Linked DNA regions of Oreochromis niloticus. The protein of the gene in region 1 interacts with the protein of each later gene in a pairwise test. Links are inferred from orthologs where the notes say so. Each region holds a gene or a part of one and is shown on either strand. Other genes may lie near its edges.

Region 1 (10,543 bases):
TGGGCCTCAGGAGTTTTAGTGTCCAAGTTAGTTTCTAAGGGAAAAACACGGGGAGAGAGAGAGGATATTAGCTCTGACCAAACCTGCTGAAACACTATCCTCTGTTCACATTTGGTTTAGAGTACAGGTACGGGATTAATCTCTTTTCAACCAATAAATACTGTCCAGTTTAACTGCTGGTGTTCTACAGCAAAAACAATTTAATCAGTCAAGGGAACAAAATACCATGGTTCAAAATTTAAACTGACCTCTAAACTGCATGTTGGAAAAGCTTTGAACTGGAATCGTGATCCTGGAAGAAAAGTGACCAAAAAAATCAGTATCACATACTTTGATTTATTGCTTGTGTTAAATCTGACCAGACAAGCTCTAACTCACCTGCTCTCCTCTCCCTCCAGGAGCTTCCTGTATGTGGCAATCTCAATATCCAGAGCCAGTTTGACATTGAGGAGATCCTGGTACTCCTGCAGGTGCCTTGCCATCTCCTCTTTCAGTGCCTGGATTTCCTCCTCCAGTCGGCTCACAGTATCCTGGTATCCGGCTGTTTCCATGGCACAGCGCTCCTCCATTTCCCGGAGCTGGCGTTCCAGTGACTCATTCTTAAATAAAAGAGAGAAGACCACATAATAAATGGAGTGAAAGAGAAAATTCTGTTCACCAGGATTTAATGTAGATAAGTAAGATTTTGTTTAATGTTGTTCCTAGATAAGTTGCTAATGCAAAATTTTACACTAGTATTACGATCTGTCTCTGTTGCTAATCCTGCTAATACAACTTTTGCATTTACTCCTTCTACAGCATCTACCACTGCTGTTTCTGGTCTATATGAGCTGCTTTTTTCATACCACTAAGACTGGTAGTACTCAAAAAGTTCCAATTTATAGAGTTTAAAGTCAAGAATACAGATGCAGGATTAACAAAACAAAAGATTTAATAGGCTACTTTGAGTTCAGGTAGAAGACAAAGAGGAGAAACTGATTGTTCTTGATTGGTTAGGCCTATCACACAATCTCAATTCAAGACCAGACTATGCACGAGTTTCTGAGTTGTGCTTCAGCTCCACACTTGTTGTTAAATTACAGTTCTAACAAACTATTTTAAAAAAGTGTGTGTTTGCCATAAGTCCATCTGACAGCAGTGTAATTTGTGAATTCAAAATGTCTGTGTAATCTGCGTGATCTGGTGTACTCACTGTGCCACGAAGAGCCTCCAGGTCACAGGTGACCACTTGGATCTGACGACGATATTCGTTGGCTTCCTGCTTGGCCTGGCGGAGGGCTTCTGCGTTTCTATTGGCTGCATCTGTCAGGTCAGCAAACTGTGTACAAAGATGAAACAGCTCGTTTGTATGTGGTGTGTGTATTAGCTTATTAGCTGTGAAACATTATCTTTATCTTTGTGCATTTCTTTTAAATTTTCACACATTTTCACTTTATACAATAAGTGTTTTATGTCCGACAGCTAATTCTTCTCACCTTGGATCGATACCATTCCTCAGTCTCCTGCATATTTGAACTTGCCATGTTTTCATATTGGACCCTGATGTCTCTGAGAGCAGCAGTCAGGTCTGGTTTAGACACATCCAGATCAACATGGACCTGCTGGGCCATGATCTGCTCCTGTAACTCACGCAGTTCCTGCAAGGAGGAAATCCAAATTTGATTGTGGTTAGTGGCAATTATTGGTGCCTTAATATTTCCGTGACTTCTATTCCTTCAGTTGTTTTCTTACCTCCTCATGAATTTTCTTCAAGAAGTTTATCTCATCCTGCAGGGCATCAATCTTCCTCTCCAGCTGGACACGATTTAAAGACGCCTCATCCACATCCTATGAAAAAAAATGAAGCACACAGAGGGATGAAGTTGGATAGTCAGTCATACCGAATGTCTAAATTATTTAGTTGATGATTTCAGGGAACAGAATTACCTGTCTGAAGCCATTTAGATTATTTTCTGCATCCTGTCGGAGCCCAATTTCATCTTGCAGTCTAAGTCACACAAAGGAGAAAAATAACCAAATTAAAAAAATTACTCAAATTTGGTTTTTTTAGGTTAACAGAACATCCAGTCTTTCCAGTTTTTGTTGTGCAAAATACTTTTATAGACAAAAATCATAAACACACCATTTATTTTGAGTTAACTTGTTGTGCATGAGCCTTTTTTGTCAACTCCTTCACATCTCAGCAAAAAGGAAACAAGCATGAAAGGATTTTTACATTTTTTTTTACAGTTTCTCATTTATGTCTAACAGAGTATCGTCTGCAAGGACTAAAAACACGCACACGCACATCGATTAGATTCGTGATATCAGCTTTACTGCTGCTCCCCATGCTGCTGGGGATGTGCGGGGCTCAGCTGAAAGGGCAGCTTACGCATCATTACACATTCACTCCAATCTAGCAGCCAGAGGCCTTTCCCACGGGATGGAGCACACACACACAGACATAAAAAGGACGCACGTACGCACAGCCTCGTGCACAGATAGGCACCACCCTACAATCCATCTGCCATGCACACAGTGACATGGAACTCTAAGCATCTGTATGGCTTCATGGAGCGATTGCTGAAAAGAGGGCTTCAAGAAGAGCAGCATGAATCACAAAAGTGACCTCTGACCAGAATCATCACTATTCATGCTGCATTCTTTTAGAGGACCAGCAGCTGCGTGGTAATCGGAGGATATAGTGTGAGAGAGACCTTTCGAACCTTTAGAGGCTTCAAGTCACTCATTCACAAGATTAAAGTATAGATTCATGCCACATATGCATCTAAAGTTTTAAAAAAGATGCATATGCAATGGCAGTGAATCAGTATTTTGGAGTAACAGGGGACTAGTGAACATCTGCCCGGCTGGCCGTTCCCTTTGTGTTGGGCTACCATTGTGTTTCCCTCATTCCTTCGCACTCACTCAATGGGGACAAGGGGTTCAAGTTTGTAAAGAGGGATCCAGGAGTAAAGCTGGGGCAGAGCACAGTGGGCTGCATTCCAGCGGGTCTGAAATCTGCATATAAATGAACTGGCAATTATAAAAGAAAACTAAGAAAAAAAAACTTTCCACTGGAAAGAGTTTGTCTTATTTTGTGCCAAAATACATAAAATCTACTCCAGCTGAATGTGTTTTCCTATCAAAGACCAGCTAACCAAAAGCATTTGTCTAGAAAACACACTTTGTGGGCATTTCTTTCACAGTCCAAATATGTTTTTCAGAGTGTGTTTCAGGTTCTACTATGCTTTAATCAAGAACATGGTAAGGTTTAACATAAACAAGGGTCCAAAACATCTGTACACTAACTGAAAAATGAAATATGAAATTGAAATTCAGTACATAACTCTAAAAAATAACCCTTTGCATTTCTTTCATTATTCTTATACATACATATGCAATCTCTAAAAGAGATACAAATGGGTGGTACTACTGTGGGATCATGCATCACACCTACATGATCCTCCACCCACAGAAGTCCTGCCCTGCTACCTCTTACTTCTGCTTAAGTGCAGCCACATCTGCAGCCAGGTTATCCCTCTCGATCTCCATTCGAGCCTTGTTGTTGGTGAGACCATCGACTTGTCGTCGTAGCTCCCTGAGCTCCTCCTGGTAGATGTCTCCCAGTCGGCTTGGCTCCTTCCCCTTCAGCTGGTTCAGCTCTGCCACCAGCACCTTATTCTGCTGCTCCAGCAGGCGCACCTTCTCTATGTAACTGGCAAAGCGATCATTCAGGCCCATCATCTCCATCTTCTCGTTAGTTCGTGTTTCCTTGTACTGGGCCTTCAACAGAGAGTCAGCTGAGAAGTCCAGCCGATCAACAGGGCTCCCCAGCAGCAGGGCTGTGCTGCTTGAGCCCAGGGAGATCCGCGACACGGGACTGGAGTGGGTGACATTGCGAGGGGTGCCATGCCAGGAGAGGCGGCTAGAAGAAAGGCCACCAATTCTGACTCCAGAGCTGCTCGAGCTCTGGGGCCCAAAACGCTTCCTGTATGAGGACTGGACTCTCTGACTCTCCATGTTGGGGAATGGAGCTCGCTCTGGGCACAAACAGGGCTTTTATACAGCCAGGCAACCAACCCCCCCAAGACCAAAGCAGAGAGACCACAGGGTGGGGCAGAGAGAAGGGAGGGTGGCAGGCAGTGAATGGGACAAAAAGGGAGAGCGAAGGGGTGGTTTACATGACACTCAAAAAGCTGTGCGCCAGGGATTGTCTGTGCTCGTCCACTCAACTACAAATGTCTCTTGGCTTTCTCCCTCTCCCCCTTTCTCCTCCCTTCTCCCCAGCCTCTAACTCACTCTCTCTCTCACTCTTACTTTCACCCTTTTTTGTCTTCCTCTCTTTCTTTCTGTTTGAGCTGAATGAAAAGGAATTTGTGTGACAGGGTCTGGCCACCAATTCAAGCTGACCACACATGCGCTCTCACAAAAACAGAAACACAGTTTGATCAAACAAAAGGGTGCTGGGGAGAGATCTTCGCTCTCTAATCAGAAAATAACTTCAGATCGGCAGGTGGAGCAGGTACAGATACAAAGAAAGATTAGTATATTAAAAACATTGCTGAGTGTATTGGAAGTGTGCACAACAAAAGCCTGTGAAATCATTTGAGACTAGGGTCAAATGATTTCACAGGGTCAGTTGTGTGGAGAGAATCTAAGAGCTGTTGTCACTCCTCTTTGGATCACAGTTTAGGGCAGCAGTTATATAACAAAGGGCATAACATTATTCGTTAACTCATCCTTAATGGGAATATTTATTATAAAATGTGCTTATTCAGTAATGAAAATTAAAGTATGATGAAAAAGTTCATATTACCCAGACTGGAGAAAATACATTTTCAACAAAGTATATTCAATTCAGTTTCAATTCAATTTTATTTATATAGCACCAAATCACAACAACAGCTGCCTCAAGGTGCTTTCTATTGTAAGATAGACCCTACAATAACAATCCCAACAATCATATGACCCCCTATGAACAAGTATTTTGGTGACAGCGGGAAGGAAAAACTCCCTTTTAACAGGAAGAAAACCTCTGGCAGAACCAGGCTCAGGGAGGGGCGGGGCCATCTGCTGCGACCGGTTGGGAAGAAAGAAGGAAGACGGGATAAAAGACATGCTGTGGCAAATCTCCATTAGCGAGTTAGCACGGATCGCCCCGTGCGTGGGCCAGCATGGCGTCAACGCGTTACGGCGGTTAGCTTGTTAATGCATTAGCGCCATGCAGCCCCACGCACGGGGCGATCCGCGCTAACTCGCTAACGTGTTAATGCGGTCATTTTAACGAGATTAACGCTGACAGCACTACTATTAATACATAGTGAGTGAGAAAGGTGACTGAAGAAGAAATACTCAATGCATCATGGGAATCCCCGGCAGCCTACACCTATTGCAGCATAACTAAGGGAGGATTCAGGGTCACCTGGTCCAGCCCTAACTACATGCTTTAGCAAAAAGGAAAGTTTTAAGCCTAATCTTAAAAGTAGAGATAGTGTCTGTCTCCTGAATCCAAACTGGAAGCTGGTTCCACAGAAGAGGGGCCTGAAAACTGAAGGCTCTGTCTCCCATTCTACTTTTAAATACTCTAGGAACAACAAGTAAGTCTGCAGTGCGAGAGCGAAGTGCTGTAATAGTGTGATACGGTACTATAAGGTAAGATAAGGTATCTCACCTTATAGTACCTTAATAGTACCTTATGGTACTATTAAGATAAGATGGCACCTGATTATTTATGACCCAGGGTTTTCATTATATATGCCATTAAATATTAATCTATAACACTTCATCTCAAAGCATTTTCAAGTGCTTTGGAGCTTTTAATTAAATAAATAAATAGATAGATAGATAGATAGATAGACAGATAGACAGATAGATAGATATACTGCAGTACATGCACACTTTCAATAGAAAGAAGAAAAACACTTCCCTTGGAGATGTTCACTGTGTCTGGTTATTAGATGTCTTGCTGGTTCCAAAGACAGATGGATGGCAGAGATGAGTGGGGTCAGGTGGTGAGATGTGGGGAGGAAGGGAGTTGGTGAGTAAAGCCTTTTAATCTGAACTCTATGAGGACTAACAGAGTCTGCATTGCAAAACCATTATCATCCATTACCTTGACAACCACAGAGCTGGCTACCTCAGACCACCTCAGCTGATCTTTTTGAAGAAGATGTGATTTATGGAAGTGAGATTTTGACCAAGTGCCCATTTCCTTCTGCAAGAATATATCCCTCATGTCAAGAACAGAGTATTTTGGCATGACAATAATGTTATTGAAAACAGAGCTCAAAAAGACACAAAAGTACTAAAAGTTTGGGAAAATACTGCTGGAAAAAAAACTATGAGTAATATTGGTTTTGTGTTGCTGACAAGATACAGTAAATAACCCTAAGTAATTTTAATGAGAAAAGCAACGGTAACTGTGTAGCAAGTTTCTTTCTTTTCTCTATCTCCTCTTTCTGTGTTCATGTCTTTGTCCTCAGGTGTTCCCTTCTCACTATCTTTAATTTATATTTTATATATTTCACATAAGTCTTTTGTATCCATGTTTGGTCATGCAAGTTTTTGTTCTTCACCTTTGTTTGATTCTGCCACCTGTGCTTTATCCCTAATCAGCCTTCTGGGTTTATAGAAACCTCACTCTTCCTTCTGTTCTTTGTTCTGGTGTCATTTGTGTAATCCTCAGTGTGTGTCCTGCTCTTGTGTCCTCATGTTTCCTGGCATTTCCTAGTTCTTTGGACTTTTTGTATCACATTTGGAACCTTGATCAACCTCTATAAAGGCTTGCCTTTTGTTTAGTTCTACATTCTGGCTCTGCAAATTCCCCCCAAAAAACAGTTGCAACATGGTAAAAAAAAAAAAAAAAGTACCAGTAATTGGTTAAATTCCAGCAAAAATATCAATTCTGTTTTTGTTTGGTGTTAGGAAGATCAAACTGGCAGTAGCACATTTAACTGCTGAAGGTAGTAAAAACCACAACAGCAGTGGTTCATAAAGGATTTCTTTGTTACTAGGCCATAAAATCACAGGGACTGTAGACCAATCATAGTGCCTTTATTCAGTGGGAGACAGTGAATAAAGGCCCTAGGACTTTACTATTTGGCCTCTGAGTGTTGTTGCTAGTAAAGAAGAAAAACAACAGCACACTGTCTTGAATTCTAATTGGTCTCTCTTAAAGCAGGTTAAACAAGATGGCACACTGTAAGTCTGGCAGAGATTTGTTGATTAAAAAGGCTCCATCTCTAAGGAGTAATAGCATGCTTGCATCATTAAGGTGACAGTAATTGTTTCGCCCCTCTGAATTTTTCCGGCAATCACCACCGTTGCCTGAGTTCTGGTCACTGAGGTAATATGTCCTGATGATTAAACATCCAGGCAGAAAGAGAGTAAAAGTGGTGCTGCAGACCTCTCCTTCTCTTTGCTCCCTGCTGCAAGTCAAACAGCTGATTCATAGATCCAGCACAAGAAGACCATCTTATCTGCAGGAATTACAAGAAGAAGGGGTGTGGGGCAGAATCTTAAAACTGAAATGATCTCAGGCCAAGATAAAATCGCAGCCAGCTAAGTTTGACTGCTCTGGCATTTTGCATCCAGAAACCCCAGTGTGAACCTCTCAGCTACCATTCTTCAACCTGGCTGATGTCTGAATGTACATGGCCACATACCAAACTGAATCCTGACCAACAAGCTGGAAATACGACTGTCTCAGCCCCACCTTCATCACTACATCAAGGACAGACAGGGTGTAAATTAAGGGGTAGGCCTTAATCAAAACTAGCTGCTTTGGGTTTAAAAAAAAAAAGGTGTTACACCCACAAAATGATGTCCTGCAACAAATTAAACAAGATGAATTTAACCTATCTGCATCAATTCTTGTGAACATGAGACTTGCATCCTCCAACGACTACGCAGGTGGGGAGAGTGCTTGATTGTGTCCCTCACACCCCTGCTGTACTTGTTTGGTCTGGACAAATTATACTTTTTAGTGACTTTGCATAATTCCTGCATAGTTGAGCCAACATATCTAGGACACTGATATTGTTAGGAATATTAAAAAACAACAACATAATTGAATGCAGGTTTTATTTATGCCTAAAACTAGGTGTATTTCCTGTCTGTAAACTGATCCTCATGGTGTAGTATAGTTTTCATTTTACTCCTTTTCTTTCTTGAGAGAAATCATTGTACATGAGATTAGTATGAGCCTACCATATCTTTACATTTACCTGGTGTGCAGTGCTCTTGGCTGATTAACTGAGACTTGTGGAGGGAAAATAAGTAGATTTCATTTTCTGCCATTATACAAAAATTGTTTTTTCCTATATATAAAAACATCCTGTTATAAGTTCAATATTAAAAGCATATAAAATTCTTAAACCTACTTCCAATTTTCGCTACTGGTCACATATAATACAGGGGCACTGAGCTCCTTTAATTTATCTGCTTAATTAGATCCCATCTAAGGAGTGTGTGGCGCGTGCCTGTCTGTCTGAATCTCCTATTTGCTTCATTCACCTTCAACGGCGGGAAGGTTTTCATACTTCGATTACTTCCATAACAGTCTCGCCCAACAAAAAAAAATTGAGGACTAATTGGGGAAAATAAATGAAAACACCTGTTCTTGTGCAATAAACAAAGGATCTGAGCACTCTTCCACTGCTGGTACTGACTGTCGGCTGGTGCCGATGGAGACTTGACAGTTAAAAACAACACAGCTGAATGCTTGGGTTCTACTGAAGCTGCAAGGCCTTGTGGGAAAAGGGTTTTAATGAAAATCAGGGGGGCTTAACTGGGACAGACCGAACAGCAATATGACTCAGCACCACTAGGTCCAAACAGAGCGTAGCCACAAAGAAGACGTCAGAGAGACGGGGTTTAGAGCCCAAGCTCCAGTCTGCCTGTCAGCAGGAATGCTGGGGGCCCAAATACACACAGATAGCTCTGCTTACCCTACACATCACATAATGAGGATGGCACTCAGATAACAACCCAAGCTTCACTTGATTATACTCAGGTCAGAAAATCATTAACATGTCAGAATTTATAGCCTCATTAAAACCAAGAAAGAGAGGGCACGCTAGAGATTTTGTCAGATAAGTGTTAACATCATCAGCTCACAGTAATAATCCTAACCTTCAGATATTTAGAGGCCTCATTCTCCATGTTTAACATGTTGCAAATACTAGTTTCTAAGTTATATAGCAGACAGAGATGTCATTAGTTTAGCAAAGTATTTTGATAGGATGAGAATACTACAGGATGTGTTTTGACAAAAAGTTTTGACAAGTTTTGAACCAATTAAAACCAATGATAATGGTTTCTTTATGGATAATCTATGCAGCACATTTGTGGTAAAGTGATTACTGTTGAAACAAAAGAAAAGAAAGCTGTCATTTACCCTAAAATCTCACTCTACACTATAACGCCATTCTCAAAGAAAAAAAAAAAGAGTGAAAAGACAATAAAAACAAAGCCTGTCAAAAGTAAGGGAATGTCTATATGACACCAGTTCACGAAAAAAAAAGACCCTTTGTTCGATACAGTCTGTTTATCCATCTCACAGGCGGACACGGCCTGTAGAAATCTCCTCTTCCTGTGTCTGCCTCCTGTTTTCCCTCATGAGAGGAGTGAAAGAGCCAAAAGAGAGGAAGAAACAGAGCGAGGGAGGGAGAGAAAAGAAAAACGAGTGCATCAATCAAGTAGCTTCTTATTGCCAACAATGAGCTCAGTCTCCTGTGTCCCTTCATTTACAGGACTCACTGGGTTTGGACAGGCTCGTCCTCCCACGCATATAAATACACTGATAACAATTAGACAACATATTTAAAAACTATTTATTTGTTTTTGAGACAGGGAAGGACATATATACAGTATATATTTATATATAACATACTATTCTTTTCTTGCTGTAAAATAAATTTGATACATTAGACTTTGCACTGCAAGTCTTGTCATGATACATATAATACATTTACATATATTGATTTCTACCAGCTAGTCTGTATTCATTTGATCATCCTAGGGTCCTTAATTTCTTTAAAACTGCATTACCTAAAACACATTTTAGCTGCCTTTAGCATGTAGCAGCCCCACAGAAATTGTTTTCTATTACAGTTAAGGCAGTAGCAAGCTTATTGCCCAGAAAAATCATTTAATACTGGACTCGTCTGAACCCTGGGATAAACAAAGTCGTCGTCTGGGTTGAACAGCGAACTCTGACATTCAGCGCTGGCTCTGATCCTGTTTGTCTTTGGCTCACACACCACTTAATTATGCTTTAATAACACTTAGTTCACAGAGAAATATTCCTAGAAATTTCTTTTGTAAGTTAAACCCCTAAAGGTTTCATTCATGGGTCTCCTAGATGAGTCAAAACAGTATGGCCAATCATGCAAAATTTCCATAACCTGTCAGGTAATACTGCCTTCAGAATGTATAGCTAAGGATGTGTGGAAACATTTTTCTGCACTGGAACAAAAACCAGGCAGCCTGAGTTCGTTTTCCATCCATTTTTCATTTATAAACCCCATTTCTGAAATGTCTGCAAAACCAGTTGCTTTCA
Region 2 (9,948 bases), on another chromosome or scaffold:
GAAGAAAATATTTTTGAATATGCAATAACAAGAATATCCAGTGAGTTAACTTTTAAAAATAAAAATCACTGATGGAACGTGCCAGTGTTTCAAAGAAGAGAAGGCCACCTGCTATACTCTTGAAAATCAGCTGATAAATATTTTGGTGGACAGGCTGACTTTTCCAGCTGGGTTCAAGTCAGACCCAGCTGATCTTCTCTCGGTTGAATATATATATTTTATTAATTTAGCCTTTTCACATTTGCTTTGAAAGTAGGTTAGCATTTACCCATTTGAATTTTTGTTTTTTCCTTTTTTTGTTTCAGCTCCTTGGTGTGCAGCTTACCTGATCAGAATATTAGGGAATATTTGAAAAGCTCATTAACCGGAGAGTGGACACACACATATATTTGACACTTAAATATCTTTACCTTTATACTGTGCTTTAACTTGGGTTTGTTTTTTCCTCATATTTTAGTATCAAAGCACATTTAAATGATTTCATTTCAGCAGTAGAAGGATTTTTTATGACATATAATTTTAGATCCCTCACTTGTTGTTTTTGCTGCTTTTATGGTCGTCTACCAGAACCTCTCGCTCCACTGGGGTCAAACTCTATGGTCTCCCATTCCTCTAATCACAGAGTGTGCACAAATCATTTTCTTTTATCGGTATACATCCACTGTTAATAACCATGTGAGGCCACAATCTTCTCAGATGACACAAGCTGCCTCCGTCCTTGGATCTTTTTTTTTTTAAGAAAAGATGAAAATGCCACTTGTGACCCACATTCTGAAGTGGCTGTAAGTTTTGACAAATATGCCGTTTTTAGCTGCCAACAAAAAGATATTCATGAAGTTGGTCTTTTTTTTTTAGATGACACGTTTGTTTATTCATGTTTCAAAAACGTTTCATGTATTTATAAATCAGAGAGCAAATAAAATTTTAAACATTTCGAACATTTATTAAAAGCAGGAGAAAAAAAGAATACATAAAAGGTCGCAGTGTTTACTGGCAGTATTAATATTGTGTTCATTCTCGGTGCTGTGCTAGTCATAGTAGGAAGGATATTACTCATCTCGGCAAACACACTCATCAAAACGTTGGGCAAACGTTCCTGAAATTTCTCAATATTCACAAAGATGCTTTTGTTCTCAGTCATGTCATACAGTTGAAGCAGCTACTCTGCGATGAATCAGATTTTGACAGTAAGTTTGAAGTCTTCACTGTCCTTGTTCTATTGTTTCTGTCAACTTAAAAAAAAAATCTTTTGATATTAAGTCTTTGTGAGAAGCCAAGCTGACTGGTTAAAATAAACAGAAGAAAAAGAAACAGATCAACATCAAATTAGGCCAAATCAGGAGAGGGGTCCTTCACGTTGCTCCTCACATTCTCTCATCAATGCTTTCTGCAGACGAAGATGATGACACGGATGAGTTCTAAATAAGAGAAAACACAGACATTATTAAGGACAATGAGCTTTTTTCCTGTATGTTTTTAGTTCAGGGATGATTGAGAAAAGGGGATGAGAGGTATTTTATCAAGCAAATGAAAATACTATAACCAACGGTTGTAGTATGAGCAGATTTAATGTTTACTATGCTCCTGATCTTAGTTTGGTGTGTTAGCATGCAAACAGCAGCCGCAGAGTACAGCTGACGATGATGGGAATGACGTATTTTTATAGGCATTTGGTCATCAGCAGTGTCAGATAAATGTTACAGTTCATTCTTTGTCTTGTCTTCCTTGCAGCAGATGGCTGCCATTCCCCGAGCCTGGTTCTGCTAGATGTTTCTTCCTGTTAAAAGGAAGTTTTTTTCTTCACATCTTTGCCAAATGCTTGCTCATAGGGGTTTGTTTTATTGTTGGGCATTTCTCTGTATTATTGTAGTCTTTACCTTACAGTGCCTCGAGGCGACTGTTGTTTAGTGCTTTATAAATAAAACTGAATTGAATTCTGAGGAAAAGATGGATGTCTGAACAAGTTTCCTCTCATCCAGTCATCGAGTTATTTACACCAAACCTTGTAAACCTCACTGTGGCACTAAAAGGAAACCCAGAAGCTCATCAGAGTCATTATAATTTATTCTCTGGGGAATATGAATGTTTTTGACACACCAGCATATGCTATAATGTTTTTGAAACAATTAAAAACCACTTCTCACCCTCTGTCTTTCTGGTTCAGTCGGGGTTGTAGGTCTTGCTTCCTCCTCTTCCTCCAGTCTCTCCCTCTTGCTGGCTTCTGGAGTTTTTGCACTGTGGACTTGAGCGTAAGATGTTTCCCCGAGGAGCTGGCGTGTGATAGGCACTCCTTGAGCTTTGAGCTTATCATAGACGCTCCTTTTAGCCACCAACATCTCCAGATAATTCCCACTGCCTTGGATAATCTTCACCACGTCATCATGATGGCTTTGCTCTACATTCACCCCGTTCACCTCAACCACAATGTCATCATTCTCCATGCCTACCTTGTCAGCTACTCCACCCTTCACCACCTGGAACACAGTGTGTCTTATCACTTATCAGTTGTGCTTAAAGTGGCAATGGTCAAATTGTGGACATTATTTAGAAGCCTTACATTTTGGAGGTAATGGCCGCACACTCCCTGGATGCTATTTAGATGAAAGCCAAAGCCATCTGAGGTCTTCTCCAGTTTACACAGTTTAGGCCTGAGTTCCTCTTTCCTCTCTGGAGCAGGCGTGCTTGATCGTGTGGGAATGGGTAAGTTAACAGCTTCTGTGTAACTGGGTGGTGAGTTGGAATCATTCATCTCCTCCATGAAAAGCAGAGGAGAAACTTTCCCCTGTGAATGATACAACATGATATAATTTAGACCACCTGCAGGGATTACTTAACAGACAAGATGTTGGCGCCCTGGCTCACCAGCTTATACACTTGGTCTGTGTCTTTGTCCACTACTAGGAGGCAACATTTGTTGCCACTCTGCTTGATCCTGTCTACCACCTCCTCGTGGCTGCAGCTCTCCACATCTCTGCCATCCACAGCCACCAGCCTGTCCTTTTCCTTCAGATGCGCTTTTTCTGCTGAACTGCCTCTCTCTATGTCCCTGATGAAGTGTCCTGCATGGAGTCATGGAGCACATTATTAAAATGTAGCCTTCTTTGGACAGTGTAATCTACAAAATATAGTCATTATAACCATGCCTGCTTGACTGGGCTCCTCTCTAAGGGTGAAGCCGTATCCATCAGATCCTTTGGTTATGTTGATGATGCGTGGTTCTCGAGGGAGGTACTTTGTTGTGGCTAACCACGAGCCAATCTTTGCATGAGTCTTCTGATAGAACTTGTCTGTTTCTTTGTCGACCAGTAGGAACATGATATGGCTGCCTGCCCGTCTAATTTTGTCCACTGCTCCATCGTGTGTGATGTTTTCTACGTTTTCCCCGTTGATCTCCACCAGACGGTCATTGAGTCTGACCCCTGCCCTTTCAGCTGTGCCTCCTGGGGTCACTTCTGTCATGAAAAGTCCATGCTCACCTAGACATGATGATAAAAAAAAAGGACATTTTTTAAACTTAATTGAACAGTTTTCTCGATAGTTCTCTACAGACTAAAAAGAAAAAAGTCATCCCTTTTGAAGTTTAACCAAAATCCTAATTTTAATTTGTGATAATATCTTTTTGTATCTATTACTACTGAAATACCTTTCAAAGATAAGTGCAAAGAAAACACTGCAACAAGTTAGACATAACGTCCGGGTCTGACAAGTGAAATCTTTGCAAAGGTCTTTAAATCTTCATGCTGGAAGGTGACTCCAAAAGCAAATCACATAAAAGTCTGTAATGAATGAGCACGGTTGTCTAACTATTTCTGTGACTGGAATATAACAGACTGTTGTCCGCACCAGGGTGAATCCTCTTGCCTGATGACAGCAGGGATAGGCTCATGCACAGTCTGAATTGGATAAGTGGAATAAAATGGATAGCTGGACAAAAGTCTGTAATGATACTTAAGCTCCCTTCAACACTATCATGATTATTTCTGGTTTTAGCCACTATCTTCAAGCCTTATTGGCGACTATACATATGAGGCATTAGGAAATGCTCTATTAGCAAATAAATACGCTTTTAGCTGGAACTTATGAACCACTGTAAGTGTCATATAAATGGGTACTTCCAAAGTTAAGCCATTCCAGTTTAGCAAATCTAAACTTCCACTGTCCAGCGTCAAATGGCTTTTATCACTATAAATAGTACTCCTATGGCCTTTTTTATTCTAACACTTACTCAGAATTGGGAGTCCCTGCATCCTCTCCTTACCTTCAACTGAGCGAATAGAAAACCCAAAGCTTGAGCTGGACTTAACCAGGTAGCAGAGTTTGGGTTTTGGACGATGTTTTTCCACTCCATTGGCAACTGGCTTGCTTCCAGGGCTGGAAAGGTTTACTCCCTGGGCTTTTGCTTGCTTGTAGGAGGATTCATCTAGAATGTGGAACGTGACAGAGGTTCCACTGTTTTTCACCAGGTCCACCACCTGTCCAGGAAAAAAAGAAGAAGACTCTAAGAAAAGATGCTTGTCACAGCAGAACTGGTCTAAGAGTTGTTATTGATTTGATTAATGCACTGCAGTATTTCTACATCCTGCTCACTTCAGAATGCGAACGTTCATCGACAAATGTTCCATTGACCCGGAGGATGCGGTCTCCGTCTTTCATGCCAGCCAGCTCAGCTGGACCTCCCATTTCCAAGCAGCGGATCAGGTGACCCTCCTCGCCATTCTCCACCCTCAGATAGAAGCCGAATGTCTGTTTTGGTTTCTTGGATAGGGTAATCACCCGTGGCTTGTACCCAGCCATGTCCTAACAAAAAAGGTGAAAAGCACACACATGGCAATCACAGTGGTAAAGTCATAACATTAAATACACCTGTCACTACTAATGCTTAACTTACAGGCATATCTTTTTTTTTTAACGCCTCCCGCCCCCCGCCACCCTCCCCGTTGTTACTGCCGCTGGTCTTTTAAATATATAAGTAGAGTAGAAACTACTACTGGACCTCAAGGACCAGTAGGAGAGTTGCTTCAGATCAATAATCTTACAGTTAACCTTTCATGCTGGGTCTGCAACAGAAGTTAATGGTTAATAGAAGAAGAGGTTACAGTGGTGATGACTCTCCATAAAAAAGCAGCTTGGACTTTGAATGCACAATAAGAACTTCTGCTGCAATTCTTGCTGGATTGTTATTCCCATACAGGAAGGTCATAAAGTTCTTGTCACTCTGTGTGTGCACATGTACTGGCTGATTTATTTAGCCTTTTGTATGGCTGAATAAACGAAAAATGGCTAAAAACAACGACTTTATTTAAGCAGGCAGGTTAGAATAATTTTTTTGTTTGTATTCCTTATACCTTTACTTTTAAAAGAAATGTTTTTACCTGTCCTAAATTTAAGTGTATAGAATTTATGTTTTCACTGAATGCAATATTCGAACCATATGAGTTTAGCATCTTAAAGATTACACTGTTTATAGATCCGGTATCCAAATAATAACAAATTTATGTCTATAATCTCAATAATGACTTATAACAGTTTACTATAACACAAGCAACACAGCTCACCCTGAAGAAACACTCATCCTCAAGACAAGACAACATTTTCCATTATTCTTAAAATGAATTTATAAGATAGCATAGATCTAGTTTTGAATGTGACATTGAAAAATTTTAACTAACTACACAAAATTACATACAGCGTAGTTGAGTGTTTATAATATACTCACCAGCCTGTCTCTCCTGGCGTCTGAATCTCGAAGGAGAGCTCACCTGTTACTGTTTAGCTGTTATCTATGTATCTCCTGTCTACCTCCTCCTTCCCGCCCCTTTTCCTTCCCCCTTCAGGGACTTTGACAGGCCAAAGGTTAGCCTAAAGGCTGAGTTATTTAACAGTTTCTAGGCTCACAAATTTCTGCAGAGGCATTACAAGGTGGGCAGTCAGCTGTTTACCGGTCAAAGGTACAAAATGCAGGTGGCAAAAAAAACAATGTACAATCCTTGCAGCACACAGTTATTACAGCATTGTGAAATTCGAGTTTTAATCACTAACACAGTATTGTGAAATGACTACAAAAATGCACAATTTAATTGCATAATTTAATTTTTACTTGAATGAAAAAAATGATGGCGTACTTATTAAAACTTGACAAAGAATGACCTAAATTGTGTTATTCTAGCAAAAAGGTCAATAAATTTGCATGCAGTAGTACTTAAAAAGCCAGTTCATGTAATGTAAATATAATCATTAGAGATGAGGATCAGGAGCTGGTTCTTGTGGAGAACCTGTTCCCAGTTGTTCAGTTACTTTGATTTCTGAGTTTGCCCGCCTATCGAGCCCACTTATTGGTTTCATTTGCACTTGTGCTAATCAGCTAATTTCAGTTTGTGTGCTGGAGGAGGAAATTCGTTTTTACAGTTTCTACAGTGTGGATATGAACATTTTGTTTATAGTTTATTGGACAAAAGGAGGAGAGCCCAGTGTTTAAGTGCAAACTGCATCCAGGACAGAACACAACTTCTGCTCTTTGCAAGCACCTGCGCAAACAGTATGCTAACGCTAAGTTAGCCAAGAACCCAGAGTGATGTTAAAGCTGAGTGAATGCCGGCCCCATCCCAGCAGCCAGACCTTGAACTTCAACAGGTTACAAAGCCAGTGATGAGCAATCAGGCTGAAGCTTACCTTTCTGTTCATGTTTCTAACGTAGAATCACTATGATGATCGCTTTAAAGTCTTTTTGTGCTGATTTTCATCCTTGCTTTATGCTGTCAGCTTTGTGTTCATACCTAAATATTAAGAAAGCGAAAGATCCCACGTGTGTCCTCATTAGGAAAGGTTGGGACTGGAGCCTACAGGATTATATTTTGTTAAGTAGTATTTATGAAACAATGAGTTTCAGGTCATTTTAATGAGTAACATGAAAGTTACTTAATAGTGTAAAAAATTACTTTCCCCTGGGAGTAATTAAGTTGTACTGCATTACTTTTAATTATTGTGTTATGTGTAATTTGTGCAATACATTACTTTTTATGAGTAATGATCCCAACACTGATCACAACAAATAGGGGAAATACCTACAACAGGCACAGACACTTGTATGCAATTAATTTGCATGAATGTAATGTCTTTGATATGGTGCTTAGGGATGGCAATGACTCTCAAAGTGGAGCAAATGAGAAGCCAATGAGAATCAATAAAAGAACTGATAAGGAGCAGAATATATAAATATGGACAATGAAATCGGAATTGCTAAGTTCTTATCAATACACGTCCCTGATAATTACCCATGTGGGTGTTTCTCTTACATTTACACACCTCAAAGCTGCAGTGTTTGCATTATGGCACATTCAATCCAGTCTCATTCAACAAATGTGTCATAAACTCCACCCTCAAGGTCATAATGTTCAAATCTAATTCTAATGGTTTTATTGTGATGATATGGTGTCTCTTGAGACATGCAGTGCTGCACAAATGTCTTGAGCAACACTTCCTTTTTTTTCTAGGAAAATGTAAACTAGATCTAGTGATTTAATGAATCACAAAAGAAAATACAGTATATAATGCTAAACAGACAGGGCTTTTCTATCTAGGTACGCTTATACTGCAATGTTAGTGTGTTTGGGATCACTGTCATACTGAAAAATGTGGCTGTTGTTATTCAAATGGTATTTCATGGTCAATCAAAATCTAAAGGTATTTTTCTGTGTTCGTAAATCCGTCAATTTTGACAACATCCCCAACACTATGGGCCTCTAATGTGTTTTTACTGCAGTCACTCGCCTTTGTTCCTCTCTCCTGACCTCTTCTGTAAATACTGATGGTGATTAAAAATCAAGAATTTAAAATTTGGAGTCATCACTCCATTAACCCTTATTCGAGCTGTTTACAGTTCATTTGTTATGTAATTTGGCATACCTCAGCTTTTTCCTCAATAATTCCTTCTTGACAGCCACTGAGATAATTTTTGGTGAGGCTTCATTGAACAGTATGTGGATCAACTGAAGGTCTCAAGTCCTTTGTTAGGTCTTCGCTTTGATGGTTTTCTGTTTCATAGACACATGACTTTCAAATATTGTTATCTGCTGCAGATAGTTTTTTAGCCCAGTGTCCAATTTCCTCAAATTTTTTAAGGACACACTGCACACCATACTGAAATATACCAAGTTTTTAGGTAATACCTCTATGGGAATTACCTTGTTGGTGCAAAAATAGTATTTTATCCTATCAAACATTTTTTTTCATAGATTCAATGAAAGAAATGGAAAGCAGCCAATGTCCAAAGAAAAACTTGGACAACTGTTGATCAAGCCACTATAAAATCTTTTTAATACATCCGGCTCACTGGAAGCAAAATATTAAGAAATTATGGGCCAAGACTGTTGCACAGTACCTTAATGAAGGGACAGAACAACACTGGACTAGCTATCCATTCTGTCAGCATAGATACTTGTATAAAATAATGTGTCCAGGAAGTTTGCTCTCACTAGCATTCATTGATTCTTTAAGAGTCTGAGACCCAGGGGTTAATTGGTCTCACTTTCCAAAAAACAGCTTCACAAATTCCACCTTAGTGTCACCACTGGTTAGAAATTCCCCTCTGTACCTCTTTTCCATGTCATTACTTAAAATGGTAAGGATAAAATGTTGACTTCACTAGTCTTCTAACAAAGTGGACTAAAGGGGGTCATTTATTTTTTTAGTAAAGATCTTCGTGGTGTAAAAAAATTCAAGATAGGATTGGTCGCAGTTAAGTTTTAATGTTTGTTGTTAACCTGGTCGTAACTCTGGATGTAAAAAGCAGTTATACAATGGCACAAAGGTGACAACCAAGGCCTGCAAAAGAAAAGTTTTATTCATTACCAAACTGGTGCCTGCAGCAAGATTTTGTTGTCAATATCTTTTTAAATGTTTTATTGTTACTGCTACTCAGAATTCGGTTCTGGTAGTGTCCTCTCTTTCTCAAGGCCTCTGACGAGGCCACAAAGTAGAGTTTAATTTGCAGTTCCTCTCCATGTCTTTGAACAGAAATTATTTCTGCACTGAGTAGACGGTCAAAACAAATATGAGTGCTGTGGACTGCCAATGATGAGACTGCGCAATATAACACAGGAACTTTTATAGCAGCGCTTTATGCAAATGATGTCCTGACATGTTCAGATTTTTACTTAACAATGTATTATTTTATTTGACTTATTATCTATGTATAATTTTGTTTTTATTTTATTACTATGTGCATACACACTGAGAGTTACCTTGTGTATGTCATGCTGAAAGGAAATAATTACTTTAGAGTCCCCAAATTACATTAATTTGTATGCACAGAACCAAACTGCCTCTGGCAAGTTCATCTTCTAAAAAAATCTCTAGATATATTTATTGAATTTGCATAAATGCAGAAAGAAATCCTGAGTCACACTTGCAAGGTGATATTAAAACTTCCACACATGTATGAGATCCAAATATCTTGCCAGGTAACATCCACAAAGGTGTGTATCCCTTTAAAAAAAAAAGAAGAAGAAAATACAAGGTCTCATTTCCACCTTACTACATCTTCACTATAACATAACCTATGCATCCAACATCTATCAAGCACATCTGGTTGAAAACCCTTTTCGTCACTGCTTTGAGCTTGCATTAGTCTCCCTCCCCCCAATATAATTTTCCTCCTTTTTTTGGCACACTGCTACCTTTTATAGCGCATTACCACCAACAACAGTAATGTATATTGACTGATGTGCAGACCTGCTGGTGGAAAGATGTATGGATATCCATTACCATCCTTCAGCACTTCACAGAAATGTGAATCACATCACTCCACGCTTTTACTGTATGGATATAATTGTTGGTGCAATGCTAGAGCCATCCCGTTGAATGTTACTCTAGAGCACTTACCTTTAACAATAAACTGAATTATGTGTATTCAATACCTTCCACCTCTTCTACAGTAAACTGTGACAAAGT
Region 3 (9,666 bases), on another chromosome or scaffold:
AGTGAATGTTTCATATGAAGAATCTAAACATTTGGATACAATTTTTTTTCGTTTATGGACCGCATGTCGCACATTGTTTGCAGCTCATAAATAAGTTTGTGGGACTACCACGTAATGGTCAGTAAAGTCATACTTGAATAATAAAATAACGTTAGCTTTACATGAAATAACAAGCTACGCTGTGCTTTAAAAAGCTGTAATCAGTGCATAGTATGCAAACCTCCAAAAAAAAGAAAGAAGTGTTTACTGACATTTTCCACGTGTTCCAGATTGCCAAACAGTGATGTTGTTGTTCTGCATCAATTTTGATGTTTTAATAAACATAAATTATTGCATGGATCGTTTTGTTGTCAATTATTCCCCCCTGCATACGGTAATGACACCAGCTCGTAGCCATTATACACCTCCACTCACGCGCCCACACATTAATAAACAAAATCCACAGATTGTCATTAAAGTCAATTAATTTTGAGGAGGGGGGTTAGAATTAAATTTGCTGCTGAGCCTCAGCCCACACAGCACAAAGGGACACTGTTACATATTTGTTTCACAAACATGTTGCTCTTGGAAATGGATCAATTTACACGCAAGCTGTTTATTGTTAGTTAACTTGAATTCTGAGGCAGAATACGGGTCCCTCCACAGCACAATGCGCTCTCAGTGCTTTTTTCTTTTCTTTTTTTTATTTGTACATTGCACAACAGGAGTTTTGTTGTTTTTGTTTGAGGCATTTTCAATGCCAGTGTTTAGCTAGCTTAACAAACACTGCACATTTGCTTCTTAATTAAGGATGATGGTCACAGCACATTCACTTTCAATGTAAGTCTTCTTTTCTTCTTATTAAAGATGGCAGACGCGGTGTCTTCGTTTACAGTTTTCGGGAAGTCCACAAGCAAATAGTAAAGATCCTCCACCTCCAGTAAGACGTCATCCTGCAGAGAAAAATACATCCAGTGTGCTACTAAGGCTCGCTACAGGTCGATTATGTATTTCTTATGACATCCAGCTACACACTGACACACACTGGATTCTAAAGTGCTTCGTTATAACTGTTCAAGGGAGTGTGTAACCACTAACCTTGGACACGCTCAGCTGGCACTCTGACATGGAGCAAACCATTGGCAGCTCCACCATCAGTTCCACGCTGTCAGGAACTCCTGCTGCATCAGTCTTCACCTCGAGTCGATACTCTGGCTTCTGAGGCCCCACAGAAGCGGCTGAGATGACCTGGATCAAATCCTTCTTTATTTTCTCTGCAGGCCTACAGATAATTTGAGGAGCAGAGTCCTCTTGGTTTTCTGATTGTAGGGAGGAGATGTGCTGCAGGAGGGCAGCTGGTGTCTGACCAGCTGTAAAAAAAAAAAAAAAAAAAAAAAAAAAAGGACTATGGATTATCAGGAAAATTGTTTTAGGAGGTGAAAGGAGAGTGGGTAAAGAGCACGGGTTCAACATAAAGTGCTTATCAAAGCTTGTCAGGGTTGACAGACTTATTGCATTACCTGTGTCGGGTTGTTTGGGGGCACTGGACAACTTCTGAAATCCAAGCCGGCGGTGCAACTCATCTGGGCTACTATTTGGGCTACTGTTGACAACTCTGTACTCCTGCGATAACGTCATCCCAAGCTGCTTCTGGGCAAAGCTCAGGGCCAGCATATAGACCTGGTTAATCTCTGCTTTGTTCTCCCTACTTTCCTGCAGCAACACAGGATTTAATGCCACATCCAGCACAGTATACCAGCCTGTAAAGGAAAAAGTATGACTTTCTTGCTTGTGTCATGTAATACAAATGGCAGGTCTGCAGCTTGACACACCTTGATCTTCATTTGTGCCTGTTTCCAGTTTTCCAGTGTACACTGGTAAAAGCCTGCTGGGATCCTGAGGCGCAGGCACACATTTCCAGCTGCATATGTTGATGTACAGCAGGCCTTTCTTTGGTTTCTGTCACAGAAACACAGTGCTATCAAAAGGATCTGTCAAAACAAACTCAATTTCAAAGTTCTAAGTGGATAAAAGTCTAGCATCTTTGCAGAGTGAAGTAAAAGTCTGTGTTTCTCATGCAGCCTGTGTATTTTAGGATATATAAAGCAAGCACAGCTTACAGCTCCTCAGCAGAAATATTTTTAGGTTATTACTTTACTCTTGGTTGGATAAAAACAAGAAATGTGATGACAAAGCTTTCACAGCTTGTAATGGACTATACTAATTAATAGGGCTAGAAGTTATAATCCCTGTCAGTATAACACAGAACTGAGTGGGTTGGAGAAGCCATCTAGATGGGGTGTTTGCTGCTGACCATATGGGTATGTATCCATCAGCGCGACACATCATCAGCTTTGTACCCCAGCTTCATAGTGCATTTCCATAATTTCTCACAAGATGCCCTTAGCCAAAGCAGACCCACCACAGGCTGATCAGACCTGGGTGTATTTCACATGGCACCCACCAGTAATTTGGCAGGCCACACTGTCTCCTTCTGCTTCAGCCAGCCCCTGTGACTACTTTCTTTTGGCAACAGTGGCAAGCTTTTTGATTAACTTGTATTAGGCTGCCCTTCCTGATGCCTACTTCCTTCGTCAGTCTTACTGTGGAGCTGGCTGCGAAGCCCCTACAGCCCACTTCCACTGAATGGACCTCCACTTTCCAGCCTTGGTCCTCTCTCTCAGCTTGCTCATGCTTTCTTCTTGTCATATGCCTTATTGATTGCATCCTCCCAAGGGACAATCAGTTCTACAGTGAAGACAGACTGGCAGGAACTGGACCAGAGAACCAGACCTGGGTGCAGGTTGATTTCAAGTGTAAAGGTATATTTCAGGAAGATAGGGCTTGACATGCTGTTTCTCACCTTCCCAGATGAAGGTTGTTTGTTGCAGAAAGGTGGCTTTAACTTCTAATGAGTTGCAGTTAGTCTATACTCTCCTGACTAATAGCTACAGACAAGTTAGTTGGTTATGTCACCAACTATATCCTCCATGTGTTAGACTGCTTTTGCAGCCCACCCGGATGTGTTTGAGGGTTGCATACAAGGGACACACTGCTGGAGTGAGCAGAACATCATATGTGGGCTGTTTTGTTTTCATATTCCATAGCTCACTACATTTGATTTTTCTTCGTTTTATGCCTTCCCACATCATTCAGCAGCCTTGTTAAGGTTAGAGGACTGCTGTTGCACATTGAGTCGATTCCTGGCAGTCCCTCTCCTCCACCATCAGATGCCTGCATTACTTGGGTGAGCCTTTTGCAGAGTAAGTGCTGTTCCCAATCCAAATTCTTCTGTAATGTAATTCCTTGTACCAATGACAGGACCTGAGACACTGAATCATTTAAAAAAAAAAAAATTTTTTTGATGATGGGTACTGAGCTGTATCCTAAATTTTCTGCTATTAAAGTTAACTTTCCCTAATTTGTGTTTGAATTTAGAGTATATATTTATTTATGTTTTGGAGGAATAAAGGTGGGCTTCCTTTCTAGCTGAACCAAAGAATGTGCTGAGTAACACCTGTATGGAGTGGGGCCTACACAGGAAGGAGCCTTCACGAATGAAACTCACCAGTATTTCAGTGCAGAGGCAGGAGTCCAGCTCGGGCGGTGCTCTGAATTCAGCTCCTTCCTTCAACTGTTTCTCTATAAGCGTACGGTAGGCTGCAGGGTCATTTTCAGAGAGATCATCCAGCATGGACCACAGTTTGCTCATCTGCTGCAAAACATCCTCTGTACTGCCAGTGGAGCACATGTTAAGGTAACTGTCGTACTTTTATTACCAACTCTAGCTAGTTAGCAGAAAAAGTTTGTGCGTCAGAAAACCAGCCGGTCAGCAGTGTCATAGAGGAGCATGTGTTATAGAAACACCTTAAATATCCGACAAATATGGAGCAGTATCACACAAATATTTAAAAAAACCAAACCAAAACAAAACAAAACAACTAATTACGTTCTGTAGCTCATTAGTTGTAATCGCTAACACTAGCTAGGCCAATGTTGTCAGTTGCCATAGAAACTATATGAAACGTAACACTGTTGCCACCAGGCGGTGAGATGCGGAACTGCGGCTCAGAAACCACACATGACAATAAGAAGCATAATTTATTTTCAATACATGAAAAACATAACGTAAAAATGCATGTTGATGTTTTCAGTCTGTCTTTATGTGTACATTATATAACTGACACGTAAAATAAAAAGTATCATGTATAACTGTAGTTTTCTAACGTTTCCACCAGTTTCATCAGAAGCTTCCTTCCTTTTGTTGTCATGAGCCCTCCTCAGTAATTCTGCAAAAATAAGGAAAGAATTAATATTAGAAATCGCTGTTCTGTTTTACAGTTTCCATCTCAATCCGGCTGAAAATACAAAAAAAGAAAAAATTCAAATAGCGGCATGGATGAAACTAATTAGCGCTTTCTGCAGTGTAGTGATATAAGAATTTATTGTAATATTTTAGATAAGTAAAAGTATTATCCCTGTAAAAAAGTATTCCATGATATGTAAATATCCTCCGTTCAAAGAGTTGTTATCAGCAGGGTACTTCTACAAAAACAAATGACCTATTTCACAGGCTTACTTTGATGCATTTCTCTCAACATAATGTTTTAAAACTGGCAAAAGTGGAGCTAACTTTTTAAAAATATATATATATAATGAAATTATAATTAAGCTGATCATGTGTTTTGCGTGTATTTTTTAACTATCGAGCTCAATAAAGAAGTATCGAATGATACTAAACCTCTGTGCTGTCCTGTAAATAGTTAGTTATTGTTCACTGTAGAATTAAAAAATGCTGTTTACCTCTATCATCTCGTAGATCCATCCCAAGAATTTGGCCACTTTGGTGTAAACTCCAGGATGATTGGGCTCAGCACACCCTGTTCCCCAGCTGACGACCCCCACCAGCCTCCATACGTTGTCATCCTGGCAAACCAGAGGGCCCCCACTGTCCCCCTGGAGAGGTAGGCCCAAACACTGCTCACTACAGCTACTCATAAAAGAGAAGCTAAATCTAGTGGTCAAAACAAGCCTCTGACCTGACATGCGTCCACTTTTCCCTCTGTGTAGCCGGCACATAGCATCCGTGCTGTGATCTCTCCATTGTACATGCAGGAGCTGTTACATTTCTTTGTGCTTATTATTGGGACTGGCGCCTCTTTCAGGGTGTCGGGTGAATGAACTACGGGTGAAAGTTTCAATTTAGGACTGCTCCACTAACACACTTGGCTCACTCTGTCACCATTTGAGTATGGATTAGATTTGTAGCAGAGATGCATTTGTTTAAGAGCAGAGCAGTGTAGTAACATCTTACCCCCGTCGGGTTGCGTGTATCCCCATCCAGAAATCCAGCACTGTGTTCCTCCTGGAAGGGCATAGTCGTACTGAGGCAGGCAGATGGGCCTGATTGTGTCTAGTTAAAAGGAGGAATTTTGCCTCTTAATACATTTAAATAGTTACAAGAGACATTAAGTTGTACTGCAAATATGGTTGGATTCATAAGTCATGTTAAGAAGTGTTATAAAACCACCCTTCACTGAGACGTGTTTTACCACGTTTAGACTTCAGTGTTTGTCATGAGAAAGCTGTTTTCTCTTTAGTCTCTACGCTCATATCAAATCACAGCTGAAAAACAAGGAAGCTTTTATGATAGAGAAGCCAACTGTGGTCCTGTATACAACATAAAGAAAGTTGTCTCCCACTGAGATCAGAGCAAACAAAAAGGTAGCAGCCATACAAACTCACAGAATAACTTAAATATAACCGAATCTACATAAAATGCATTGTGTACAAAAATAGCCCTGTGTCTCTCTCATTGGATTCTATATGATGGCCTGGTTTTTTGTGTTTTGTTTTTTTTACACTGTACAGTATTTGCATATTCATGTATTCTGTCCTTTGGAAGCTACATCTGTAATTCGGTTCATTTTTATTTATGTGAATTCAAAACAATAGTCATTTCAAGGCTCCTTATGTTGTGAGGTAAAGAAGAAACAAAATTACAAAGACAGACCCAAAGATCCCTCAGGAGCCAGGAAGGAGAATAAATTTCAACGTCTCAAAACATCTGGAGGCGGTGCTTTAATTGTTGCTGAGACTGTAAGCTTATGTGTGAATCTTAACAGCTGATTCTGTGAGATGTTAAAGATATTGGGAGCCTTTTCATTTGAAGTGTATATCACTTGTTATGATTAGAAAAATTAGCATAGCAATAGCACTTATATTGTTTATGATAAATTGTTATTAGCATATGAAAAGGTAAACTGAAGCCAAAGTACTTTTTTTTTTTTTTTTTTTTTAAGTGCTGCGATGAGACTGACCTGAGAAATTGAACGGGGTCCGCAGCTTCATCAGTGCTATATCGCTGTCGTGGGTCCTGTGGTTGTAGTTCTTGTTGTAGATGATCTTCTCCACCGCGTAGCCTGCATGCTGAGCCGTTTTAGCAGAGCTGCGGGTCACAATGCCAGCATAGACCACCCAGCTGGATATCTGAGGTAGCCTGTAGCTGACATTTGGGAAAAGAAAAGAGAGAGTAGATACTGATACTGCTACACTGGTACAGCTGTTAATGACTGATTATTATCCTTCATCGTGGCTGCAACCTCTGACCTTTAGTACTTGTCAGGTCAGCAGTCTTACTTGTGTACACAGTGGGCAGCTGTGACTACCCATTGACTGGTGATGATGGAGCCTCCGCAGGTGTGACGGTTGCTGTAGTAAAGGCTGACCTGCCAGGGCCACCTGCCCAGCGCGGCCTCCACGCCCCCGATTATCCTGGGTAGCTTTGCTCGTGTGCCACACTCTAAAGATCCATTCATCAAAACGAAACGAAATTGGGTTGGTCAGAAAGAGCAGCAGCAGACGCCATCATTCATCCTGCTCTGATATAAAGCTTTTGTACAAAAACACTACTGGCCTCTGTGCGAGGCGCAAACTCAAATTAAAAGTTAAGTTTAATTTGCTCACCAAAACACTGCAAAGCGATAACCTTCCCTGTGATACAACTCCTCCTAAATGAAAATAAATTGGGTAACTAATGATGCATAATTAATGTATTAGCGGACGCAATTTTCCCTGCACCATTATGAGTGTGATGTCCTCTGACAGATTGCCTTACCTGAACTGCCACATATTTTCCAGGCTGCTCTTTTGTTCTGAGGTAATTTGTATGAAGCCGTCAGTGTAGTTTGGCCCGATATCAGTAAGGTTCACTCCTTTATGCTTGGTCAGTCTGGTAAGGGAACATTTGAAAAATGGGTGGGAGCGAGTATTGAGATAATTTAGTCTCATGAGGTGTGAAGCAAGATTATAAATGAGGTATTAATAGATCATAAATAAGGTGAGCCTTCAGCCTAAAATTAAACCAAGTTTGAGAATGGGCTCTCAGCTTTTTTAAATGGTGCTATAAAGAAGCAGTGTGTGATCCTCGCAGGACTGCGAAAAAGCATCACCTCAGATAACCCAGCTGTCTGCAGACCAGTGTTCCCAGCGAAGAGTTCCACCTCTCATAGCATACTGGAAGCCAGGTGGGCAGCTTCCCCAGCTGGATCTCCAGGAGGGAGTTCTCAGGACTGATTCTGTAAAACACTGAACCTGATTGATTGAAAATCCCTCCAGAGACAAGCTCTCAGTCAACGTTAATGATCAAGCCTCTTCTATGAGTGGGAAATGATTAGGAAAAACACAAGTATCTATGCTAATGTAGTCAGTAGAAACAGATCATTATGTGTGATGTTTTCATGTCGGTCAATGGGCATCTCTCAGGAGTGAAGAGAAGACAACAAGTAGCAGCTGCTGAATTTTAATTTTTGTTACTATTCAATTAAGAAACACTTCAGAGGTGACCCATGACCTGATATAATGAAGTATATACAATAAGCTAAGCAGCCACGCATTAACGTGCTGCATTATAATTCATAAAACAGTGAAAGAAACGCTACCACGAGGGAGTAAACACAGACCTTTCCGCGAGTCCGATGCGGAAATATCCTCCGTCACATTGCAGAAGGATGTCTCCTTTGTATCCCCAAGCCCCACTGGGCTTTGGGAGGACGATGGCCTCAGCAAAAGTTTGACTAAAAGTGGATTAAAAGAGATAATCTTTTAATCAGGCTGCAAAATGGGCAGCAAAACGTTGTTGATTTTTCCTAATATTACCAGATTATCTGAATGAGAACCCAAAACGGACCAGCGTCTGAGACAGCAATAAAATGTCATTAAATATTGTTCATTTCTATCTGCAAATCCAGCTAATTAGAAAACAGCTAATTAAAAAACAGATTCATTTTTCAAAATTTTCTCTATCTTAACTTGAATGTTGTCGCGTGTTTCCATCAAATTTGGGAAACTTCAATGCAGTAAATAAAAAATCTAAATTGGGGCAGCTGAGCCCAACATTGCCCTGATTTTTAGCTGGTGATTAAAGTAAGGCTCCAAAAACACAAACAATGAATAATACATTTTTCATGTTGTCCATTAAAATTGTTTGACAGTCCATTAAATCCAAGAGGTCCTTATTTTTAAAAGTATCAGTTTGCTTACACCAGAAGCCTGATTTAGGGAAATATCATTTCAATGCAATGATTTGCCAAACAATAAAAATGTGTGTTTAACTACTAGCTGTACAAAGACGTGAAAAGTTTACGTTTTCTTAAAATATATTCTCACTTTGATTTTAAAAGTTCTGATGAGAGCAACAAAACCCTGGAAAAGTTGTGGAAGACTAGATAAGAAAAAAGAAACTGGAGAGGAAGATCTCACAGCTGATTAGTTTAATGAGTAACATGATTGGGGATAAAAGAGCATTCCAGAGAGGCTGACTCTTTCAGAAGAAGAGAGACGGGTTCACAACAGCTTCAGTGTAATGATTCTCAGTCTAAAACTGCTAAGGACTTGAGGAATGAGGTATCTGCTGCACATAATATCATTAAAATTCAGAGAATCTAAATAAATGTATGGAAAAGGGTTAAACAAAAACAATCTTGAGTTGCTTGAACTGCATTAAAAGCTGGTTAAAATAAAACTCAGTGAATGGGCTCAGTAACACTCGGGTATCTGCAACTACAAGTTAAAAGATGAATGCCTCACGGTTCTCTGGGCCCGAGCTCATTCGAGATGGACTGAGGCAAATTCTGTGGAAAACTCTTTTGTAGTCTGACTAATTAAAAATCTGAGATTGTTTCTAAAAACCATTTTCCTCTGAGCTAAAGAGGAGAGGGACCAATGCACATCAATGCACAGCTAAAATGCCAGCATCTGTAATGGTATGGGGATCCATTAGTGGACATGACGTGCGTAAAAGGCACCGTTATTGCTGCGTGCAGAGAGGACTTAGAGGTTTTAGAGTAGCATATGCTGTCATGCAGCATAACAATGCAACAATGTGGTTTTCAGGTCAGATTTATGCGTGTTTCAGCAAGACAATGCCAACCCACATTCTACACATATTATAACGTTATGGCTCTGTGATAAGAGAGCAGCCAATTAAATCAACATTTAGCTACCAGGACTAAAGCTATTGGTCTCCTCGGTGTTGTTAACACAAAAGAAAATGATGCAGCCTGATCCCAAGTTTTCTGAAACATGCCCGAATAGTTTCTCCGTGTCAACATTAGATATTCAATTTTTGTAGGATTTGAAACTGCTGTTTAATTTGTTTTTGCTAGTATTGCATTCTGGTGTCATTTA

The links.
Region 2: the proteins of gfap (region 1) and pdzk1 interact in binary tests that used the Homo sapiens proteins (3 or more experiments, as listed by UniProt). The link is inferred for Oreochromis niloticus from reciprocal best matches to the Homo sapiens genes GFAP and PDZK1.
Region 3: the proteins of gfap (region 1) and pih1d2 interact in binary tests that used the Homo sapiens proteins (3 or more experiments, as listed by UniProt). The two-hybrid records come from large-scale screens. The link is inferred for Oreochromis niloticus from reciprocal best matches to the Homo sapiens genes GFAP and PIH1D2.

The regions. Positions count from the first base shown.
Region 1 is NC_031969.2:28,881,033-28,891,575, reverse strand, and holds the start of gfap (glial fibrillary acidic protein), read right to left. Parts: upstream 4,044-10,543; 5' UTR 4,003-4,043; coding exon 3,482-4,002; intron 1,988-3,481; coding exon 1,927-1,987; intron 1,828-1,926; coding exon 1,732-1,827; intron 1,638-1,731; coding exon 1,476-1,637; intron 1,319-1,475; coding exon 1,193-1,318; intron 600-1,192; coding exon 379-599; intron 293-378; coding exon 249-292; intron 35-248; coding exon 1-34.
Region 2 is NC_031987.2:19,835,562-19,845,509, forward strand, and holds pdzk1 (Na(+)/H(+) exchange regulatory cofactor NHE-RF3), read right to left. Parts: upstream 5,810-9,948; 5' UTR 5,717-5,809; intron 4,798-5,716; 5' UTR 4,795-4,797; coding exon 4,588-4,794; intron 4,473-4,587; coding exon 4,259-4,472; intron 3,477-4,258; coding exon 3,144-3,476; intron 3,060-3,143; coding exon 2,863-3,059; intron 2,783-2,862; coding exon 2,558-2,782; intron 2,475-2,557; coding exon 2,145-2,474; intron 1,419-2,144; coding exon 1,365-1,418; 3' UTR 918-1,364; downstream 1-917. UniProt on the Homo sapiens protein: A scaffold protein that connects plasma membrane proteins and regulatory components, regulating their surface expression in epithelial cells apical domains.
Region 3 is NC_031979.2:26,670,412-26,680,077, reverse strand, and holds pih1d2 (PIH1 domain-containing protein 2), read right to left. Parts: upstream 3,996-9,666; 5' UTR 3,731-3,995; coding exon 3,548-3,730; intron 1,939-3,547; coding exon 1,812-1,938; intron 1,740-1,811; coding exon 1,500-1,739; intron 1,350-1,499; coding exon 1,078-1,349; intron 933-1,077; coding exon 798-932; 3' UTR 576-797; downstream 1-575. Other genes in the region: tmprss5 (transmembrane protease serine 5), read right to left, coding at 4,260-4,268, 4,783-4,935, 5,019-5,161, 5,294-5,392, 6,300-6,484, 6,619-6,781, 6,946-6,989, 7,097-7,210 and 2 more.